Linked DNA regions of Neodiprion lecontei. The protein of the gene in region 1 purifies or fractionates together with the protein of each later gene. This does not show direct contact. Links are inferred from orthologs where the notes say so. Each region holds a gene or a part of one and is shown on either strand. Other genes may lie near its edges.

Evidence for each region.
Region 2: the proteins of hsp70-binding protein 1 (region 1) and erythroid differentiation-related factor 1 purify together in Homo sapiens (affinity purification with mass spectrometry; 3 studies listed by BioGRID and IntAct, counting the BioPlex papers as one, with this or other methods). This does not show direct contact. The link is inferred for Neodiprion lecontei from reciprocal best matches to the Homo sapiens genes HSPBP1 and EDRF1.

Annotation. Positions count from the first base shown.
Region 1 is NC_060263.1:34,405,206-34,410,671, forward strand, and holds hsp70-binding protein 1, read left to right. Parts: upstream 1-2,475; 5' UTR 2,476-2,680; coding exon 2,681-2,724; intron 2,725-3,038; coding exon 3,039-3,276; intron 3,277-3,385; coding exon 3,386-3,788; intron 3,789-4,020; coding exon 4,021-4,261; intron 4,262-4,356; coding exon 4,357-4,567; 3' UTR 4,568-4,679; downstream 4,680-5,466. Other genes in the region: uncharacterized protein LOC107222673, read right to left, coding at 1-60, 328-554, 641-885, 965-1,047; DNA-directed RNA polymerase II subunit RPB9, read left to right, coding at 1,406-1,534, 1,684-1,757, 1,836-2,025; peroxisomal biogenesis factor 19, read left to right, coding at 5,302-5,365. UniProt on the Homo sapiens protein: Inhibits HSPA1A chaperone activity by changing the conformation of the ATP-binding domain of HSPA1A and interfering with ATP binding. Interferes with ubiquitination mediated by STUB1 and inhibits chaperone-assisted degradation of immature CFTR.
Region 2 is NC_060265.1:27,244,192-27,253,124, forward strand, and holds erythroid differentiation-related factor 1, read left to right. Parts: upstream 1-2,176; 5' UTR 2,177-2,494; coding exon 2,495-2,527; exon of another isoform or gene 2,528-2,560; intron 2,561-2,807; coding exon 2,808-3,843; intron 3,844-3,942; coding exon 3,943-4,362; intron 4,363-4,467; coding exon 4,468-5,250; intron 5,251-5,370; coding exon 5,371-5,547; intron 5,548-5,623; coding exon 5,624-5,991; intron 5,992-6,120; coding exon 6,121-6,439; intron 6,440-6,530; coding exon 6,531-6,834; intron 6,835-6,946; coding exon 6,947-7,115; 3' UTR 7,116-7,861; downstream 7,862-8,933. Other genes in the region: charged multivesicular body protein 7, read right to left, coding at 1-57, 151-376, 519-623, 736-1,420, 1,511-1,797. UniProt on the Homo sapiens protein: Transcription factor involved in erythroid differentiation. Involved in transcriptional activation of the globin gene.

The DNA of each region.
Region 1 (5,466 bases):
AATGTTCCATAAGACTGATGTTGCGACAGGATAGAGTATCTCTGATATCTTCTTCCAGACCTACCGTAATATCAGGGAGGAAATTGAATTTGAGTTACAAAACTTCAAATAAGATGAAAATGTCGAATATAAACAGAGATATGAATGAAGTTTGATTTGTTCCGCAGAAATCACATTAGACTTTATTACAACTAATAATAATGGTTCAAGGTTTAAAATTCAAAGCCATGGAGCATGTATCTGATAAATGAGATACATGGTATAATCCTTCAAACCGTAGAAAAATAATTAATTAAAATATAAACAATTAAAGAATATTGTTCATACCTTTTTCTTATCCGTGCCTGAGAGCATAGAACTGACTAAGGTCAAAGATTCCTCTATTATTATTAGGTCGACCTGATCACCACTGGACGGCAACAGACATTTACAAACTTGGCGCATTTGATTACAATCTTGAACCTGCGATTGCATCTGATCATACTTTATGGAGAAAAGTTCTTTCTTTGCTTGTACGGATTGACGAGTTGCCTGTATCTTGAGAAGTTCTTGCCCTTTGGAATGATTATAAGATTTTACTTTTGGGTCAATAGAATTTTGTCCAAGGAAATTAAGAGTATCAAGAATGCGATCCACTTACGTTTTTTACGAAGTAAGAATTCCTGTGTTTCTCGCTCTTCTTCAGCAGCACGAATTCGCTGTCTCAAATCGTTTCTTTCCGCTCTTATCTTAGAGGTTTTTTTAATTATTTCAATCACACTATCTTCTGCATTTTCTCTCAGTTTATGCAGTAAGATATTTTTCCTTGCTTCCAAGACTTCCGATGTGGGATGTAGATTGTCGGCGATGTGATCCCATAGCAAGCCGACGATTCCCTTTGATAATCTAATTGAATTAATACGAACAGGTAAATGAGTTTAACCATTGTACTGCAAATCAGAAATCGGTATTGATCCAAACTCACGTTTGTTTTGTAGATTCGTTGCAAATCGACGGTGGACATCCCAATCGGTGTGTCCATGTAAAACTGTCCTCGAGTTTACTCATTTTTATCGATGGATTTAGATTGATGAAGATTTATTCGCGAAAGACAGCACTACTCTTTCGCATCTACGACACATCATCGAAATTCTTTATACTTTACGTCGCGTTTTGTCATTTTCATGACACGTCCAGTATTCAGTAACGAACGAATTCGAAATAATTGTTGAGCAAATGTTGGGCGATGCTAACTCTATCTCTATTTTGCTCCGCGAAGTAACGAGAACCGAACGGCTGATTCCAAAGCGTCCCTGTTTTTAGGTTAGAACATTATGTTAGGTTAGGCAAGGGTAGCGTACCGTCACGATTGAAACGTCAAAGTGGTGAAAGCTGAGTATTTTGTCGTCTTAATTTCTTATTGAAAATGTCTAAAATAACTGGATACGACACGCACGACGATGGCCCAGGTTTTGTGGGCATTAGATTTTGCCAAGAATGTAATAACATGTTGTATCCTAAGGAGGACAAAGAGAACAAAGTGTTGATGTACGCGGTAAGTAGAATTTATTCGTCGTTGCTTGTCAAGTTGGGTTGTTTCGACCGAGAAATTTAAGTAAGAATTCGTAAATAATATCCGTGATTGATTTACTAAACAAAATAATTTAATATTTACTGACTTAACGTGTTGTTTTCCAATTACAGTGCAGAAATTGCGACTTCAAGCAGCTAGCCGACAGCAACTGCATTTACGTGAATAAAATTATGCACGAAATTGAGTAAGAATTATTTTGCTTGATTTTTAACAATCATAACATAACGTGTAACTAATGGACATGTTTATCTACTCTGTACAGCGAACTGACCCACATCGTCGCCGACGTTATATCAGATCCGACACTGCCAAGAACTGAGGAGCACCCCTGTCCAAAATGCAATCACCGAGAATCTGTATTCTTCCAAGCACAAACCAGACGAGCTGAGGAGGAAATGAGACTTTATTACGTCTGTACAAATCAGCACTGTTCACACAGATGGACAGAATAAATTTTAACACATTCTGTATGCAAACAAAATTTAGATTTTAATGTACATATACTTCTGGTCCTGTTATAGTTCTCTAGATGACATCTCATTTCAATTAGTCTTAACTTAAGGTGAGATAATTAAGGTATATAAGTAAGTTAATGAGAAAAGCTTCACCTTTTATTGCAAGACATTGAATAAACTATATTTGCAATAAATTTTTTTTAAAAGAAAATAATTTATTTCATCATTTAAACATAATATTTACAGTAATCTACTGCGATTTAATTTTTTTTTGGAATTTGAAAGTCCCAACCTTGCACTGCTGAAAGATCCACGATATTTTCAATCAGAAAAAAACTGATCGTTAACTTCTTTTTTTTGTCCTACGCCAACGCGCGGCCTCGAGGGGACGGCGAGTGAGAATGTACTACACAAATGCACTGCATACATTCACGCTGTCATACACGAATGTACATACGTCGTAAGCTCAACTCTTGCTAGAAACGTCTCCTTTTCTAGAGCTCAATCTCGAAGCAAATACACGAGGGATACACAAAAAAAATTAATCGTGAGGTGCTTGTTTAGTCGTATCTCTACACTTGGATCGCGAAGGTATGAGTCACTGTGATTATCTACAAGCTGATGCTGTCTTCATATTCGTTCAAATCAATTAATGGGTTCATCGTTTACAAAGAATACGAATAAAAACATGAACAGGTATGTATATGCATAGACAAATTGACATCGGATACGTTATTCGGAGATTCTTGTACAGAAAATCTGTCTGTAATCCTTCAAGTCCTGTGTTGCGTTGAAAGTGACAGACTTTCATTTATAACCTATAAATAGAAGGAAAATTCGATGTAGAAATCTACGCTATGTAAGACATAAATTTGACACGGGCTGGAAATTTTGATTCGATTCACCACATCAGTGAAACCGCCTATTAGACTTTGATATAATGAAACAAATGACAATAAATACCGCGCCAGGTACAATATCAGTTAATAAATCAATATCCTTGTATTCAGCAATAATACGTCAAGGTCAAACAGCAGCATGGGAAGTGAAAATAACGCAAGCAACTCCAGGCCATTGAGCATCCAAACAGTCAGGGCTCAGAATGATTCGCGACAATCGCATCCGCAATCGATGCCAACTCAACCAAGGCAGCCATCCAATCTACAAGGGCTGCTTCGATTTGCCATGGAAGCTAGGCAAGAGGAGAATGCTTCACAGTCTTCGCAGTTCCAACCGCTGGATCAGGAGGTATGGAAAAAACTATTCAGTGGCAAATGAAGTCCGGCTTGTTTTGAAATTAATTCTATTTTTTCATCAATTAAGGAAAATAAGCTTATATTTTCTTTTCTCTGTATAGCGACAAGCGTTCTTGAATCAAGCGTTGTCTTCTATGACTGTAAATGTGATAGAGGAACTTCAAAAGTCGATAAAAGTGTTGTCCAGTGCAAGCGAACTCCAGCTTGAGAATGAACCTTCCCAATACGATAATGCACTGGATGTGATCGCAAATTATGTCGACAACATGGACACTGCAAATGACTTTTACAAAATTGGAGGCTTCGCGATATTCGAACCCTGCCTTAATTCTAAGTACAGCAGTCACAGATGGAGGGCAGCTGACATTATCGCTGAGTTGACGCAAAATAATCCATACTGTCAAGAAAAGGTCTTGGAGTTTGGTTTGATGCCGACATTACTGCATATGGTAGACACAGACCCCTCAGAACAGACCAGAATTAAGGCCTTATATGCAGTTTCTTGTAAGTCCACATTTTTACATAATATGTCATCATTCTGTATTCATAAACTAATCAGAAACGATTCGAGAGAATTTATATCTACCATGATCACCGATACAGACAGATTTACTAATATTTGATTTTAAAAGTTGCCCTGCCTCATTCTTGCTGAAGAATAAATTGGAAGAATAAGTTCAGAGTATGTAATCAATTAACTGAGTTTATGTTGCTATCACGATGTTTCATCATTTAGGTCTGGTGAGGGAGAACCCAGTATCATTGACTCACCTGAATGTCAATGATGGCTATTCAGTTCTGCTAAGGGCATTGCAAAGTCCAATAGAAAAACTGCAGATAAAATCTGCCTTCCTGTTATCATCTTTATGTAGCAAAGATGGCAATCCCCATAATTTAAAGACAACTCTTGTTAATATGGGTTTGATCGAACAAGCGGCTGGTTTGCTGGCAATGCAAGGTCTTCATCCAGATACAAGGTACTAAATTCCGTTACTTCACTTACAAAATATTTCTGTCCGAACTGCTAACGGAATTAATATATATGGATTCTTCTTTTTGTAAATAACTCAAGGGACCAGCTATTGAGGGTACTAGCTGGATTGGCCAAAAATAACTACTTGCCAGCATTGAAGGAATGCAGAAGGCCGCAACTTTGCCTGAGGCAGACTCTAGAACGTCATCAACGTGAACTAAGGGCAGAAGAAAGTTTCGACGAAGCTGACATGTGTGCTCAGCTTTTAGATCAAATATTTTCAGATCATGAGACAAATCAGGAGAGATAGCCGATCTCTTGCGTGCAGCCAGATCGATGATCTGCCTAACAGAGTTGTAATTCTTGTTCAATTGTAACACAAAATATGTACAATAAACATAAATATTTATTTTTTTCCCTTATTCGAGTAACTTGACGTTTATAACTGTACGCTAATACAGATTACCACTATGTATATGAACAAATAATTTGTTGAATATGTGCAAGTACTTTATACAGATAAAATCCTGATATTGCCAACAGAGCGTTGTTGCAATCAATCATTCAATCGATAAGTCCGTCTGCCCTTAATACACCGTTGCACGTGCACATTCGCGTCTGGAGGCAATTAGTGACTAATGAATGTATCCGTTATGCGATAGGTTGATAATTTTTTGTGAACGACGATACCTATCGAATATTCCGTTATTCGTGATCCGAATAATGCAATTCAAGTAAAACTACGTAGGTATACGTGACCAAAGCGATCATTAAAAGTTTCATTAAATCTTACTCGAATCTGTATAAAAAATAAGGAAGGCAAGGAAAATAAGTTAATTAAGTTGCGAAAAAATTTTTCATCTGGTTATATGGGTTGAACTTTGTGCTGATACGCGGCATTGGTACGCCACGCGTCGCAAAGAAAGTTGTGATTCGGCCGCTGGAATTTAATTTTTGTAATACACTAAGCAGAAGCGCGCGAGGTCTTTAGGCTTGGGATTTATTTAATTGTTCGCGCGTGACGTAGCGGGAAGCAACTCGACAATGTCTGAGGATAAGAAAAAATCTGGAGAACCTGCAGATGCGGAATTAAACGACTTATTGGATAGTGAGTACTGACGCAAATTACATTTTCATTTACGGCGTAATCTCCGTTTGCAAAAATCAGCAACGACTTGGTGATGAAAAATTATTATGCACAAACATAAC
Region 2 (8,933 bases), on another chromosome or scaffold:
CGGAAGGTACGGGGGACTTAATAGACGGTGAGTATTTTGTTGGGGGCGGCGGAAGGTCTAGAACAAAAAACCGGTGAGTGGGGATAGAAGAAAAACAAATCATAATTCAGAGGGCTTGTGTAAATGGCAAATTGCATTTAAAAATATTACCTTCCAGACGCAGGGATGAGAATTCTTTATCAATGTTTGGCTGTTTCTTATCACCGTTCACATTGGAGTTACTTTGTGATTTACCAGAATTATTTTCAGGATTGTTGATTGAGTCATCATGTTCTGATTCCGCGAGCAGCTCGGTTAACTCGTCTTCAAGATCGGAATCGTAGTAGTCGACTGGTTTAGTTAGAACTGATTGCATCTCGCTAAATTCTTCCAGTACCTAAGATTTAATCCGTACAAAGACTTGGATTAGGATGAATGCAGAAATGTTCTGTTGATTTTGAAGAGCTTCGTATTATTTTTCCATAAATATAATTGCAGAAGTTGGGACTAAAGATAGAAAAAAATACAGTGCAGCTCACCTCTGAAAGATCGTTCATGGTATCGGCAACATTGTCTTCGTTAAGGCCATCTTCTGCCAATTTTTGCTTCAAGGCGGCAGCTCCTGCTTTGTAGGAATTAAGTACCTGTAAAACAACGATAATTTTATTGACCCATATTACATTTTACAGAAGTTCTGTTATATTTGGTTGCATTCCTGTCGCATTGTCATTGATGAAAAAATCAATATCTGTTCACCTCAGAGTCAGAACGCATGTCGCGAACCCTAGTGATGATAATTTGTATGTTTTGAATTGCAGCTGCGCGTTTTTCGATGCTTTTCTCAAGCTCTTTTTTTTTTCTTAGACAACTTTTGGCAACTTGTCGCATTCCATTGGCCAAATATGCTTTTGCATTCTTGATAACGGTTTCCTTTTCCATTTCCAATAACTCCAAGTTTTTGATCAAGGTTTCTTCTTGCTTTTCCAATTGGTATAAACCTTCCTCAGCCTCTGTTACTTCTTTAACATGGGTGTTTGACAACTTGACTAGCGTATCGTTACTGTCTCGTTCAGGACTAAGATGAAATGCAGCTTTCTTGTTGAGACGCAACCATATCATAGCAAGTTTCACATCATCATCAGACAAACTACCTTTCTTTATATCCACCTTCTCTATGCAATTTTTCGTTATGTCCGACATAGAAAAAAGAGTATTCTCTTCATTTTTCTTAATTGTCGAGAGAATCAGCTCTCCTAATTCCTTGACTGTCTCTAAATGGACATATCTGGTCTCTGGATCTACCGATGTCTCTACTATGCTGTTTTTTAGCACAGAAAATGACCAGAACAACGGTCGTTTTACAAGAGTATCAACCGCCCACCCTCCCCAAGAATTGGGGGATTCGCGAATGAAATTCAACATTGGAACAATCTCACCATTTCTGAAAGAATTAGGAAAAGTAGAGTAACGATTCGGACGAGTTTTTGTAATCATGATTAAATTCTTATGCACATCCTAGTGTGTCTTTCACCTGTGCAATTCCTGAAGGACAATCGACAAGCAGGCGGGGGATCTACCGTTACGCTTGAAGGCCTTGTTCAGATCGGATAGAGAGAAACTGCAACGCTTCCTGTATTTTGACCAATCTGCTATCAAACCACGCCAAAATCTATACTTCGAGTCCCAGTCCTGTGGATTAGCAGAGCGGTTTCGAAACTGTGCAAACAGGGAGTTCATACGATCATCCCTCTCCCAGCATTCAGGCATTTCCTCAGCCGGCAAGGGTAGACTCTCATTGAGATCCTGTTGCGCCTGCATTTTATTTCACCTTGTAAAAACAGGCTTTCAAAATATTTGACAGAGTCTCTTGTTTATGTGAGGTTGGTTTTTAAAACATGATTTGACAGTTAAATTGCAACTTCGAAATTAGCCAAGCAGGAGTCGAGTATAGAATTGAGTAACTTTGCGCAAGTGTGATGTGCTTAACAACGTTGTCTGTTTAAACATTAGAACTGAATAGACTGAAGCGCAATTTTTCCACAACACGTTCGAACGCTTATACAGACAATGAGGTGAAAAAATTAGCCAGAATCACGTCGGTTGGTCCAGAGAAGTCACGTGTGCTCGGATTGTGCTCGACGGATGGATAAGCGATTTTCATACAAGCTTGCGCATTCAGTCAGTGACGTTACGCTCAAGCCACCCATCATCATCTGTGTCAAGTCAGTTAGTCTACAGCGCATGCGCAAGTACGCATCTACACAGGGGTGCGTACCACTGAAATGTAGTTCTATACATACATTTCAGTGGTGCGTGTAACATAACCTCAATTTTGCTAGTAGTTTCCAGAACCCCCTAACAGTAACCGTTAATCCGACATTCGGTAACATTCGGCAATCGGCGACGAAACATTGTGCGTGATGGTTGTGTCGTGATGTTTATGTTCGTTAAAAGTTATGTTTGGAAGATACAGTCGTGACCGGTGACGGTATTCCACGGTATAAAAACGATTAGAATGTCTAGTAAAGAGAACACCGTCCTCGAAGAGGTGAGAACAAGTTGCTTTGCTACAAAACAATAGGTTAGATCAATATGAAAACAATACTCTATCTAGTACGTACGAATGTCCAATGTTATCAACAGAAGTAACGGAAAAACATTCGATTATGTCTTCGAGCCAATGGAATTTGTTGAAAAACCGGTGGAGAGAATTGAATAAAATTTAAACCCAGACATCCTTTTCGCCAAAGACGGCCGATTTTGTTTTGTTCAAAGCTTAAGAATAATCTGTTTCGTTGTTTGTAGTATAAGTGATACTCCTTTTTCAGGAAGAGACAGGTGACAGAATGTCTCCAGACTCGCCCAAGAAGCCAGTCAAGTCAACGGCTGTTGTCAAGTATTCTGCGGTAGCAGCGCCAGCCTCTTATGCTACACTGCAATGTAACACAGATTTGAATCTACCACCGAGTAACTGGCTCAGTACTTCGGCGCAAAGTTATGGTCTTCAAAGCGTTTGGTCTCACAATACGGGATTTTCTAGCTTTCGAATGGCTCACATGTTTCCTGATTGCGTTGGGGAAGTGGATGTTGTTTCAGATGCAGAGAATATTAAGAAACTCCTTAAATTACCTTACAGTCAGGCATTAGTTTCCATGATGGTGCATAGAGTTGAAAATACTCTACTGATTGATGACTTTGACATTCATAAGTATCTGCTTCGCCAGGCTGAGAGTGATTGGGAATGGCTTAAGAAATTTATCTACGGACATGTGTATAATAGCGTCGGGGGTAAAGAAAAGAGACTGTTTCATAAAACGAACAGCAGGAATACGTTGCAGCAAAAAAATCTTGTCTCCAAGTTTCTTTATCATTCTCTGGTTGTTGCCGACAATACGAAGCAAAGCGAGAAACCGAAGCTGCCCGTTGAGCCTCTAGAACCACAGCTACCTGAGCCGACACGAGAAGAGAAATTACCCGATCCAAATCACAGTCATAATTTTGCTAGAAATGTTGTTTGGACTTTTGAAAATATCCAAATGCTGATTGGGACAGACATGCCGATATTCGGTGGACAGACTCATCCCTGCATCAGCTTGAGACTGAGGGATATGGCCAAGCCGATTAATGTTTTAACTGGAATCGATTATTGGTTGGACAACCTTATGTGTAACGTACCAGAAGTTGTTATGTGCTACCATCTCGACGGAATCGTCCAGAAGTATGAGCTGATCAAAACGGAGGATCTACCCAATTTAGACAATTCCAAATTCAGCCCTAAAGTCATTAGAGATGTAGCCCAAAATATACTAAGCTTTCTAAAAAGTAATGCAACAAAAGCTGGGCACACTTATTGGCTGTTCAAAGGTAAAGCATTCTTATAATCTTTTATGTTATTATGATCATTATGATAGTTTTGTACATTATTGAAAATAGGAATCATAATGAATATTTTTTCCATTCAAGGCAAGGATGATGATGTTGTCAAATTATATGACTTAACTTCGCTCTGTACCGATTTCTCCGATGAAAAAGGACAAAATCCATTCACTGTACCAGTAGCTATGTTACTCTACCGTGTCGCTAGGAATATGAAATATTCGTCTGACTATCGCAGGCAGCAGGGAACCATTAGAATGCTGTTGAAAAACTGTGTGGAGCTGCTGTCAAAGAAAAAATATCCCCAAATTGTTACTTCGGCACACTACATGCTTTCGGATCTATATATTCCGGCTGATACAGATCCTGCCAGCCCTGGCTTAATGGATCAAAGTGACGAAGAAGATGCTCAAAGCGATTACAGTGCTAATCAAGAGGCAGAAAGTAATATAGACAACTTTGATGAGGAAGTTAGCGTGGCCATCAAATCGTTGAGCCTAGCTCCCAGTAAGCATTATTTATTTGATTGAAAAAGTTCTAAATTATTGGCAGAATTTTTTTCTATGCATTTAGTTTTCACGCACTTCTGACTGTTTTTCAACTTGATTTCAGTGAAAGGATATCGAGAGAATGAGGAGCTGAAGTATAAACCGCCACCATTATGTGGCACGGTTGAAGAGAGGTGTAAAGCTGCGTTGGAGCACGTTAAAAATGGACTTGAATGCTTGGAGTATTTTCCAACTGAACATTCCTCTGACGACGAGCAAAGAAAAGACGAAGAAGCATGTGGACAAAACGGGCAAGAATTAGAGGAAGAGCATCCAAGAATGGCGAAACCTTTCCAGGCTATTCCTATGCCATATGTGCCTTTGAAGCAGACCTCGGATGACACATCGTCGAATGTAGAAATGAGTCCAAAGAACAAAGGAAAATCAAAGAAAAACAAGAAGGGAGACAGAACCGTGTCAAAACCAACAGTTCAGGACGCCACACCGAAGGCTTTGCTGTGTAAATCTACAGTGGAAACATTGCCAACTTGGCAGGCCCCAAAAGCGAGCGACAATCTTAACTGGAATGCACATCTTAAGACCCTGTTATATGAGAAAACGTCTTTAATCTTTACTGTACTGGCAGAAAACGAATATTCTAGAAACAATTACGGAGCGTCGTTGAGATACATATTAGCAGTTCTGGGGTGCCAGGAAATCATGGAAACGTTCTGTCACATTAAGAACGATAAACTGATCAGCTACCTACTGGGAAGAGCTGGCGACAGCTGTTTTATGATTGTTCAAGACTGGAATAACATTGATAAGCACAGAAACGAGTATGAGCTAAAGAACATTGACCCAAAAATTCTCGATGAAATATACCATGTCAAAAATATAAAATCAGGTGAGTTATAAGCAAGTATAGAGATGAAGTATATTAAGTAGTTTTATTCCCCCATGAACGCTCGCTTCCTTGACTTTGTACTCATTGAAAACTAATATCCATGTAAATGATTATTTGCAGACGGTGTCGAGCTGTTGCCTCAAACCTTGGACAGTCTCGAGGTAATGTTAGAGGCTTCTTACAAATGCTATGAAAAAGCACTTTCACTGGCGCCTCTGGAAAATGATAAAAATAATTTGTTAAGACGTTTGGGAAACATCCACAATGAGTTGGGTGTTCTGTACATGAATCAAGCTGGTATGCGATATTTCAGATTTACCGTCTATGATAAGGTGTATTTTTAGTCATCTGTTTTAATGTACACTTGTTTTAGCTTGCCATCAGCAAGAAGAAAGTACAGATGATACAACCACGGATGTTGCAACGCTGCTTAATCAATCTTTGACACACTTGGAGGCTGGTGTAAAGACATTTGAAGCAGTGCACGATGAAGCAAATCTAGCTCTATTACATTCGAATTCAGGGCGACTCATGCGTCTTTGCGCTCACATTCACATGAAACAACAAACGCAAGAGAGGTATTTTTACAACAAAGCACTTATCAGCTATCAAAAAGCGTTGCAAGTTTTGGGAACTCGCAAATCTAACACCGTTATCTGGGACACAGTCACCTGGGAATTATCAACAACGTTATACACAATGGCTTCGTTGTTACAGGACTATCCAACTTCTGAAAATAAGGTTGGTATGTGAAAGTTCAAAAAATTTCCTAATAAAAAAAGTTTTTTGCAATCATACACGGAATTTGCTGTTTTATTCTGTCACAGTTAATTGTGATTCTTTAAATTTGTATTCATTCGAATATTCCAGAGCAAAGAAGAACTCGAAAGAGAGGTAGTTGAGGTTCTTCAAAAAGCTTTGAAACATTGTGACACAGAGACACCGGGTCCAAGGCAACCTGTCTATCAATTCAGAGCTGCGAATATTCAGCATCGACTCGCTTCCTTTTACCATCGTGTGTACAGAGAAATGGATGCAGACGTCGATGCGAACAAGAGAAAAACAACTTTACAACTTTGCAAGCTGTACTATGAAAAAGCAGCAAAGTTGTTACTGTCTTTGGAACAAACTACGGAGTTTCTTACTGTACAGATGGAGCGCGTTGCTTTGGTGGAATTTCAGGCACAATGTGCGTAAGCAAGTCTAAGATGAAATAACGCACCATCAGCTACAATAGATTCTAAGCAGTTTGAATATAAACCTGTTGCTTCATATTTCAGGCTCAACAACGTTTAACAGTAAATTGAAATTCTATCAGAGTGGGGTGGATTTAATACTGCAATGTAGACCCATCCTTGAAATTTTACACGAGAGAAACAAGGGCGTTAAATTTCAACCAGACATGTCTGAAGTCTGTGATGATAAAAATGAAAAAAAATCTGTAGTCACAGAGAAAACTGACGACGAAAAACTGACGGAAGAAGATGAAAAGCTTGTTGTTCTTCTAGAACAGAGGTTGCAATTTTTGCTTCGGTCTCTCGCCAAGCTTTGCATTGCCAAAAATCCCGGTGGGAAAAAAAAAGAGTAAGCAGAGCGAGATTTTCTTGCGTATAATGACTGTATAAACACAATTGACATAAGTAAGTCATTGTGAAACTATGTTAACATGCGGTATCGAATTTCCATCTTATTACAGATGCGAAGACCTTGCTGCTCTGTATAAAAGCTGCTACAGTAAAACGTTGAGACCAAGAAGTTTGTCTAATTACGCCCTCGTCGAGCATATGAAAGATCTTCTGAAAACCCTACAAGAGTGCAGTAGCGGATCTGAAGTACAACACAGCGGCTCAAATTCTAGACTATAATCCGAGGTATGTCCATAGTTGAAATGGGATATCTAGTTTCTTCTTTACTGAAAAATGGTTGCACTTGAAGGTAATTTTAGAAAATTCGGTGAAATCGTTGTGTTTAAATGACTGAGATAATTCAAGAACTCGGTCAAGTTTTGTCAAATCGTCTCGTATATTGACCGTTCAATAATACATGTCGAAATGGTTCTTTCATCAACACTTTGTGTCTATAAAGTTAGCGATTGCTTTCAGAGAGAAAGTCGTCTTGTACTTGAGAAAAGATTCGATAACTTGTGATAGTAATGGACGTTGAGAAATGCATGAGGACCAGTGTATATTTATGGTATATCGTTATTGAACTGCTTTTTTGTTTTATTGTTATTATTGTTTTTCTGAGGTTGTTTGCGTCTAGTGTTGAAATTTTCAAAAAAAGTATTTTCATCAGACATTCATTATTAGCCGTCCGTGAACTGCCCGGTGAAGAGTAACCACTGAGCGCTTGTTGTGCGATGTTGTATCTGATTATTCCTAATCCGTGAGCTGAGTCATTTGTTTCGCTTTCGCAACGTGATATGATCGTAGATGTTAAGCAGAATAATACCGAAGGGTTGTCCGCTGGTGACCGGATTTATCCTCACTACGTCTCTTGGGTATTGCTATAATTAGGCTCGACGTTAAGGAAATCTTACTCGATATTCGCCGGAGTAAAAGTCGATATTTACTTTTTTAACGTGTACATAATAAACGTATTATATAAATGTTTTAACGAGTAAAGTTTATTTATATAATAAAAAAGAGAAGTAACGAAAAAAAAAAAAAAAATGATAACCAATCAAATCCTAAATCCTTTTATTGTAATCACCTCTACGGTGATAATCAAATTACAATAATCTTTATACGTTACGAATGATCTTTAACGATAATTTTTGTAATATGAGCGAGTAATTCAGTGCTATGAACAGTGAACCGGATCACAGTTTCAAGTTTAGATTAGATGAACATCAAGGCGTGAAAAATTTCGTACAAATTGTTCAGTCTTCATTTTGACGCATTGTTTGAATATGAAGTAAAAACCTCGACGACAAACGAGTTTTGCAATTAAATTCGACTTTATTTGAATAACGTATTTTATACTGGAATATGGCAGTATCAGACATTCGAAAATTTCCATTCCATCACGACGTGAAACTTTCGTTGGGTAAAAAGGCGCCCGGAAGGGTGAGAAATTTTGCTAATCTTTCCGAATGCCAATCGTCACTTCGAATATCATTAACCCTAATTAAATTTACGCAGATGTTTGGACTTTGAACTTTGGAGAAATCTTCCGGGCCAAATTCAAAGACTGCGGCTAATCTCTAAAAGCATCCCAAAAATTTGAAAGCGGTTGTTTTTCGTTGCCTCGAAAACTGACGCGAGTGTTTTTAAATTTTGTGCCTTGTAGCGAAAGGGTATTCGAAAGTAAAAATTCGTAAAAAAGCTCCGTTCCGTTTCTCATTTTGTCGATTACCGAAGCCAGGTAAGTGATTAAAGAATTGCAGATATCACTGCGGGCATTGTTGGGTGAAAATTTTTAACATTTGTGTTATGAAAAGTGCGTAAATCTTTGAAAATGGTGAAAAATGAAAGGAAAAACTAGCGCGACGGCGTGCTTTCGACCTTTTTCCATTTTACTTTATCTTTTGACCCGTTTTTATTCTTTTTACGATATAACGGGATATCGCGGGGCCGTAGATGAAATATGGTATCAAATTGCTGTGCCGGGAGGAACGAACACCTTCCGCTCCTGTGTGGTAAAATTTGAATAAACAGACGTTACGTGCTCTGTTTCGAAAC